Xenopus tropicalis: one gene and its partner. The protein of the gene in region 1 binds, or shares a complex with, the protein of each later gene. Links are inferred from orthologs where the notes say so. Each region holds a gene or a part of one and is shown on either strand. Other genes may lie near its edges.

The links.
Region 2: the proteins of ralgapa2 (region 1) and nkiras1 are in contact, whole or in part, in a crystal structure (PDB 9QU1), measured with the Homo sapiens proteins. The link is inferred for Xenopus tropicalis from reciprocal best matches to the Homo sapiens genes RALGAPA2 and NKIRAS1. Residues at the interface, in NP_065076.2 of Homo sapiens: Pro20, Lys21, Tyr51, Ser52, Gln53, Phe56, Tyr59, Glu60, Ile63, Arg99, Phe102, Arg103, Trp104, His105, Tyr106, Gln107, Ser108, Lys185, Ile186, Tyr187, Pro188, Glu189; in NP_001364280.1 of Homo sapiens: Lys6, Glu22, Leu24, Leu25, Tyr26, Glu34, Met39, Glu40, Asp41, Val42, Tyr43, Met44, Ala45, Ser46, Val47, Glu48, Lys54, Gln56, His58, Tyr60, His74, Tyr75, Ser77, Phe78, Lys108, Thr162.

The regions. Positions count from the first base shown.
Region 1 is NC_030681.2:36,761,450-36,764,926, forward strand, and holds part of ralgapa2 (ral GTPase-activating protein subunit alpha-2), read left to right. Parts: intron 1-2,937; coding exon 2,938-3,080; 3' UTR 3,081-3,477.
Region 2 is NC_030682.2:46,635,610-46,639,870, forward strand, and holds the start of nkiras1 (NF-kappa-B inhibitor-interacting Ras-like protein 1), read right to left. Parts: upstream 2,829-4,261; 5' UTR 2,556-2,828; coding exon 2,462-2,555; intron 1-2,461. UniProt on the Homo sapiens protein: Atypical Ras-like protein that acts as a potent regulator of NF-kappa-B activity by preventing the degradation of NF-kappa-B inhibitor beta (NFKBIB) by most signals, explaining why NFKBIB is more resistant to degradation.

The DNA of each region.
Region 1 (3,477 bases):
TTTGGGCCTCTGTGTAGTTTAAATGCCAGGGCTTATTCAGAATGCCAGTCTGGACCTGCAGTAAATATTGCCCTTTTACATCCTTTCCTTTGAGCCACCATTTTGTGATGTTCTGTATGCTCCCTCAGAGATCAGCTGACAGGAAATAATGCAGCTGTAACTGTAAGGGTGAAGACACACAGAGCTACTAGTAGCAGCTACTTGTCACAGCTACAGCAATAGACAATGCTGATCATTTACTGATAATTGTCTCTACATGTGTTTTAGCAGAAGCAATTCTCAGTATTGTCTATGGCAGGGGATTTTCTGGAGTTCAGTAGCCTTGAAAAATTAGCTGCTACTAGTAGCTGTGTGTGTCTTCACCCTAACAGGGAGAAGTGTTGGAGTAAAAGACAAAACTTTGTTCATTAATTGCCTTATCATAACTCCCAACTTTTGAAAAATGGAAAGAGGGATAAAAAGATTTGGCGTGCACAGCGTGGCAAATTTTTTGACCATGCCCACTTTTGTGGCCACGCCCCAATTACCACTCCCCTTTTGTTTGTTTTTTATTTTCAAAAATACTCCTTTTATATAGTTGAAATGGCGGATCAAACACAAAATGTGCTATACCCTCATACACTACTACCTAAGGAAAACAATATAGCAACTCCTACATATAAAATACAAATATAGAAGGCAGTCAGTTATAAGTGAGTTATAGCTATGTACCAGTTTTGCCCCCCCATACACAGTGCCCCCCATAGAAAGTACCCCCAATTGCCCCCATAGACAGTGCCCCCAATTGACCCCATAGACAGTGCCACCAATTGATCCATAGACAGTAGCCCCCAATAGAAAGTGCCCCCAGTTGACCCCATAGGCAGTGCCCCAATTTACCCCATAGACAGTGCCACCAATTGATCCATAGACAGTAGCCCCCATACACAGTGCCCCCATAGAAAGTAACCCCCATACACAATACCCCCATAGACAGTACCCCCCCATACACAGTGCCCCCATAGATAGTGTCTCCCAAAGTCATTGTCGTCTTCTTCTTTTTCGGCTCCTGTTCTTTATGCGGTGACAGGTCCTTTTATAAGGTTGCGTTCCGTGCGTACGTGTGACGTCAATACGCACGGGGCGCAACCTTATGAAAGAGTCTGTAGCCGCTGCCGCACAAGGAGCAGGAGCGCCCTGGTCCAGCCAGCGCATCCCGCTGTCCCATATAGTTCAATGAATGTTCCACATTTCCGTAATCTGTTACGCAGGATGCGCTATTAAAACCGGGATAGTCCCCCTGAAAGTGGGACAGTTGGGGGGGTATGCCTTGTGTGACCTGGCATGTATATGTGCCCTTGCGTTGTTTGTGTGCACTGTGATTCCTTAGCACTTAAAATGGCATTTTTCTATTTAGGATTACCCAATGGCACATACTACTAGAAAAGTATATTTTTATGAAAAAAAAAAATAAAAAGGTTTATTTAGATGAAGCAGGGTTTTCCCATATGAGCTGTTTATGTGATACATTTATAGAGACCTACATGGTTGAGGGGTATAGTTTTGCTTGAAGTCATAGTTGTCTGGGCAGGATGCACATACCGATACCAGGCAAAGCTTTGTTATTGGTGAGAATGTGGCACAGTGTGTCCTACAGTTCTGCTTGGTTCTGTGCACCCCACGTAGCATATACATTGGCACAGTGCTGGGACACCATGACCTTTATCCAGTGCAACAAATGACTCACCATTTGTTCCCTTCGTGTCTCTATCAATTGCAGTTTGATGGGAATTGTAATTGCGTTGAAAGGCTGGTGCATGGATTTACATGAGCAGTTGTTTGCACTTGTGCCTCGTGATTCATGATTTACAGATGATGCAGCGAGAGCCTGATGAAATGAAATTCCCTCTTACCCTACTGCCCAGGGAGACGCCGCCACAACAAAAGCAACAACCCTCCTAGATTGCAACAGACATCTCTGAATTCCTCGGTGCACGTTTGTAATTGTACTGGGAGAGATTTGTTACTCCGAAGCTTTAATTTTATGCATTTTGTGTTGTGCTTAATAGTAGCAACCTCATCTGGTCCCATTCAGCCGAGCCGTTTAGTTGTGACCTTCAGTCATCTTCACCTTCTGGGAGTAATTGAGTTGTGAGTTAATGATTAAAATATCAGTGTGCGAAGCCCATGGAAGTCGCAATCGGAAATTTGTTGTGCTTATATTTGAGATTTGGCAAATAAAGTGGTGTTTCCAATACTTTAGGGTTGCTTTAGGGACCCATCCCAAGCCTTGTGGGTGAGGACTGGCCATTGTGGTCTTTTAATCAGATGCTTAGACACTCGTATAAAAGCAGTTTGCTGTGGTTGCACTATTCTCTGTGTGTATTACTGTGTCTTCTAAGGCAAAAAGCAAGCTCTGACTGCTTTCTCACTGCAAAAGGAGTGTCCATATGATACAGAGAAACTATTCAGCGGAATGAACTCTCATCATGCAATGCACATGTGTGTCTGACATAGCGCTGTGGCTAAGTGGAGGGGTCACTGGGGCCACTTGCATCGAGCCCCATTGATAGGACCCTGGACTGGGATTCTGGATAGGCCCCGGCATTTCAAGTACACAGAGGCCCAAACAGCCCCCCTGGCCCAATAAATAGTGACTGTCTGTGGCATCTTACAGCAGCCCCTCTGGCATCCTTATGTCATGATGATAGTGTGTTTGATGAACATATTATTGCATGCAGTATGTCCAGCTACAGCTGCCACACAGGTGATATTTAGTTGCACAGAAGGTGGCACCGAGTTGCTCTGTTATCTACCATAGTCGACACATTGCCTATTTATTTGCACTATATCAGCATTTATGTTTATAGTCCTTACCTTTGCCCTAACCTGCTCCTATGTAGAAGCTTTTTGCTTGAGATACCTGCAGTCTAAACCTTCTCTCCTCCTCCTTCCTAGGACTCCCGGCAAGTACAAGTGCAGATCTGGCTGGAGCCGAGGCAGCAGAACCCTCCTCTCCAACACTGAGCCGTGCCACCAAGAGCAAAGTGTCAGGGAAGCTCCGCCGCTCTGCCAGCGCTATCAGCAAATCTTCCAATTGAAGCACTTTTTATATGGAACTTTATTCAAGAGATGTTTTTAAATGAAAATAAAATAATTAAAAGTAAAAAAAAAAAAAAACATAAATTTTAATATGGTTGAGGTGTGCAATGTTGTAGTTCATGTCTAGCGGGGCAGGACCCCCTTGGGTGGGTGAGAGCAGAAGCCATCCACTAGACACTAAGATATGATGCAACTGCTGGGATAGTATTGACAGCCGGAAGGAATTGGCTGCCGAAGCGTGGCACAGCAGCACTGACGGCGAGGGACCAGCGTGAATCCACGTCGTGCACAAGAATTACCTACAAGATGTCTTAAACCGGACTCTGGCACCACTTTTTGTTGCCTCGCATTTTCATGGCTGCACTGTTATCTGATTTACAATATCAACACTGAATA
Region 2 (4,261 bases), on another chromosome or scaffold:
TTTCATCAAGAATACAGGCTTACACAGGCACAACTGTCTCTGATAAAAGTTCAGTTTGAGCTGAGCTCAGGAGAGGAGGTTAGGAGAAAAAAATTGAAGCTGACAGCTAGAGCCGAGTTTCTATGGGAACTGGCAATGCCATCTCCTCACTGGCTGCTAGACTGGAGGGCGTGTTTAGTAATCTGAGCTGAGAAAAACTGAGCATGCCCACAAGCCAGAAGTCAAAGCAAATTCCTGAGGGAAGGGGGCGAGTATGTTACAGGAGGAGAAGGAAATCTAAGTGATTAAGGGGATGCTGCAGCCTTACTATTAACCTCTGGACAAACAGTGTGGCAGGTATTGAAAGATTTAAAAGAGGCTGTTCACTGATTAAATTTTTGTGTCTGGGGTTTACATGTTCTTTCAGTGGGCCCGGTCATATTACAAAAGTTATGTAAATTGCATAAGTAAAGCATAGAGCATAAAGCTACGCCAAAACTTACGCAATTTACGCAAAAACTGCTAGGAAAACTATGTGACTCTCCTAGAAGTTTAAGAAACTTGCATCAAGCAAAAGACAATGCAGAGAAGCTTTGCAGGGATAAACCCCACTGGCCATTGACAAATTAACAAACTTAAGGTAAATTCCACTGTCTCCAATGAACTGACTGATTTTTTAGCTCATTAATTCATTTTAATTCTTAATATAAACAGCTTATTATAGAGTAACATCAGATTTGTTTTTTATATTGGGAACTATTTATTATTCTACATGAACTTTGCAACAGGGGAATGACTTGAATGGTTATTGGGCCCTGCAGCAAGAAACATCATTTAAAATACTGACTTATTAGCACATTCATTATTTTTACTATTTTTATGAACTACTACTGACTGCGCCTCACAGTAATATCATCGGGCCCCTAAACGTATGCAGTTTACGTAACTTATGCGAAAACTTACAGAACTTCCATATCAAGCAATGATAGCACAGTGCAGGGGCAGGTAGGTGGGAATGGGTTAAACGTAGGGCAAATTTCACTGACCCCTAATAAACTGAATGACTTATTAGCACGTTAATCAATGGAACTCTTTATATTATCTGTTTACTATAGAGTAACATCAGCTGTTTATATTGCACACACAAGGGGCATGGCCAGTATTTTGGTACTGCGTGCTTGTGTTCATGGGGGGCTCCATATAAATAACTGGTGTGGGGCCCCAAATTTTCGGATGGCAGCCCCGTATACCAGTTTACCATACAATATTTACTTTATATTATTCTGGTTTATTGCATATTATTTTCTTATGAAAACCACCTAGTTCACTATTACTGAGATATACAGTATGTACCCAACACATATGTAATTGACTGTAGATTTGGATTTTTTAATCTCTGATTCTTATCTATCTTTTTAAATATCAAAAATTATTTATTCCTTTATCACTATTTACATGCTGTGATATTAGACTGTACCATTTCTATGTACCATATTCACAAAAGTGGCATTAAGATGCACTTTGACATTTCACCGCAGTAAAATGTTTGTTTAGTTCAGAAATTGATTAAACCACTCACAATCACCTGGACACCAATTTTCAATACACCACCCTATGCCAAAATTTATTTTTTTTACTATATATATTATATATATATATATATATATGAAAAAGCTAAATTAAGCAATTACGCCAGCTGAATTCCATCCTTTTGAATTTTATGTTAAATAATGCCAGCAAAATGGAGTTAATAATTAACATCAATTTCACCTGGCACAAGTTATACTCCAGATTTCATGGATAAATTTGCTACTACAAATTCACAAAACGACGGTGTACAAAATCACCATATTCACAAAACAGATTTAATAGAAATAAACATTAGACCAATAGATTAAAGCTTTTGTGAATTTAACGTTCTTTTGATTCCCCCCCCCCAAACACTGGTGTTCAGATTAGATGATTTATAGCAGTGATCCCCAACCAGTGGTTCGTGAGCAACATGTTGCTCTCCAACCCCTTGGATGTTGCTCCCAGTGGCCTCAAAGTAGCTGCTCATTTTTTAATTTCTAGCTTGGGGCAAGTTTTGGTTGCATAAAACCCAGTGTAAAGCCAAACAGAGCCTTCTATAGGCTACCAGTCCACATAGGGGCTACCAAATAGCCAATTATAGCTCTTATTTGCACCCCCAGGAACATTTTACATGCTTGTGTTGCTCCCCAACACTTTTTCCATTTGAATGTGGCTCACGACTATAAAAAGTTGGGGATCTCTGATTTATAGGGTAAATCAATATCAAAGTCAAATTTGTGTTTATGTCACTTTAGTGAATTCCCTGCTTGCTAAAGTGTTGAGAGTAAGTTTTCAGATTCAGTGTGACTGAATATGAGTTTCCTAAATCCAAACATTACCAAAATTGTATGGATTTGGCCAACTCTTATGAATCATAGTATTTTCATACTGCCTGATACACTAGACTTACCTAATTTGTAGTTTCCATATAGCAGCTGTTCCAGGATTGCTGTTTTACCAACTGCCGCAAACCCACAAACTACAACTTTGCTGCCTTTCCCCATTGTAAATGAGAAAATTCTACAAAACACTATTCAGTCTGACTATTAATCCTCTGATCTGTGGTAAAATTCAGTTGTGCAACACACCTGGGCTTTAAGGATTAGCACTAGTTTTGCTGAGGGTTCTATTCAGTAGCTTATCGTTCCACCTTTTAATATCCACTTGGAAGAAGAAACCATAAACACTATATTCTCATCCTCTTCAAATCCCAAGCACCTGTGCATGCTATGCTGATGTCTCTGCAGCCACACATCAATAGGAATTTTTAAAACAGGTATCATTTTTTTCTAGAGTCATAACCAGCAGTAACTGACTAGACATTTATTTTTAATTGTCTGACTGCACTAAACTAATTCAAACTGATTTATGATGGGTTGCATATGCAAAGGTTACTAGTCTTGCATAAAATGACATCTGTTTTGTGAACCACACTGATTTTTTTACAGGTTGGATTAAAACCTGAGTTTCTAACTGCACCTCGATGTCCTGCATTTTTCATGCATTCAATTAACTGACCAATCTCTCCTCTGTAAGGACTGCACCCACAGAAGTGTAAAACAATTGTGCATGTGTGTAAGAACCTTTAGTACAATGCCACATGAAAGTGGTTATAAATTAAAAACAGGTTTTCTTTATATGAGGCTTGCCACATAGCATTATTCTTTGCTATGGGAAAAGCCACAATTACAACTGTCTTTATAGAAAACATTTCAAAAATCTGATTCTTATGCCTGCACCCAGAGTCATTGCATCGGCCCGACTGCAGTAACTACACTAAGCACAACTGCTTGCGTATGTTGTTTTGCAGTGATTTCCACTTAGTGTGCCCAATACAGTGGCAGCAGTTGCAGGCACAACAATGAGAATTTTAAAGTGTAGGGGCAGATTTTGGGCCTGCACTTATCCGAAGGCCATGGGGCCTAAGGGGCACATTCATTAAAGTACGACAGGTTCAATTACAAAAAGTGTATTTTTTTTTTATGTACAAATTTTGCGTATTTTCTGTGATATTTTCATTAATTTGTGCAACTTTTTCGTACTTTGCGACAATTTGTGCGACAAAAATTGTATTTGTCGCAACGAGTACGAAAGTTTTGGATTCATTCAAGCTTCAGTATCGTGACTTTCCTTGGGCGAGGTAGGAGCTGCAGAGTGCCATTGAGTCCTATGGGAGGCTTCCAAAATCATGTACTGAAGGTTCAAAGTCAGAAAGGTCTTCGCACCATTTACAATTATTCGGATACAAAAATTGCGCAACTTTGGAATTGTACCACAATATTTTCTTCCAAGCACGACGCGACTTTTCGCAAAATTAACACACATCAGAAATTTTTGTATTTAATGCAAATTTTTGCAAATTGTACTTGTAACTCGTACGTTATTGAATCTGGCCCTAAGACTACAATGTGTATTCAGCTACCATTGATATAGCACCCCCCGAATTCTGCAATATTTTGGAGATCCTTCTATTATTGAATTTAAAAATGGTAAAAAAAATCCTTAGGCTGTATTCTAAGGACAATGGCACATGGGGGAATATAGAGCACTGCATGCTACACCAAACCACTCCCATTCACAGGGGTAATTGTAGGCCTCGGGGCAGTTTTCTGATGCTGCTCCTATAACACCTGTGTTTTTTTCCCCACTATACTCCAAATTTTTATTTTTTTCATTATATCTCTCTAAATTTGATGTTATTACAGAGGTT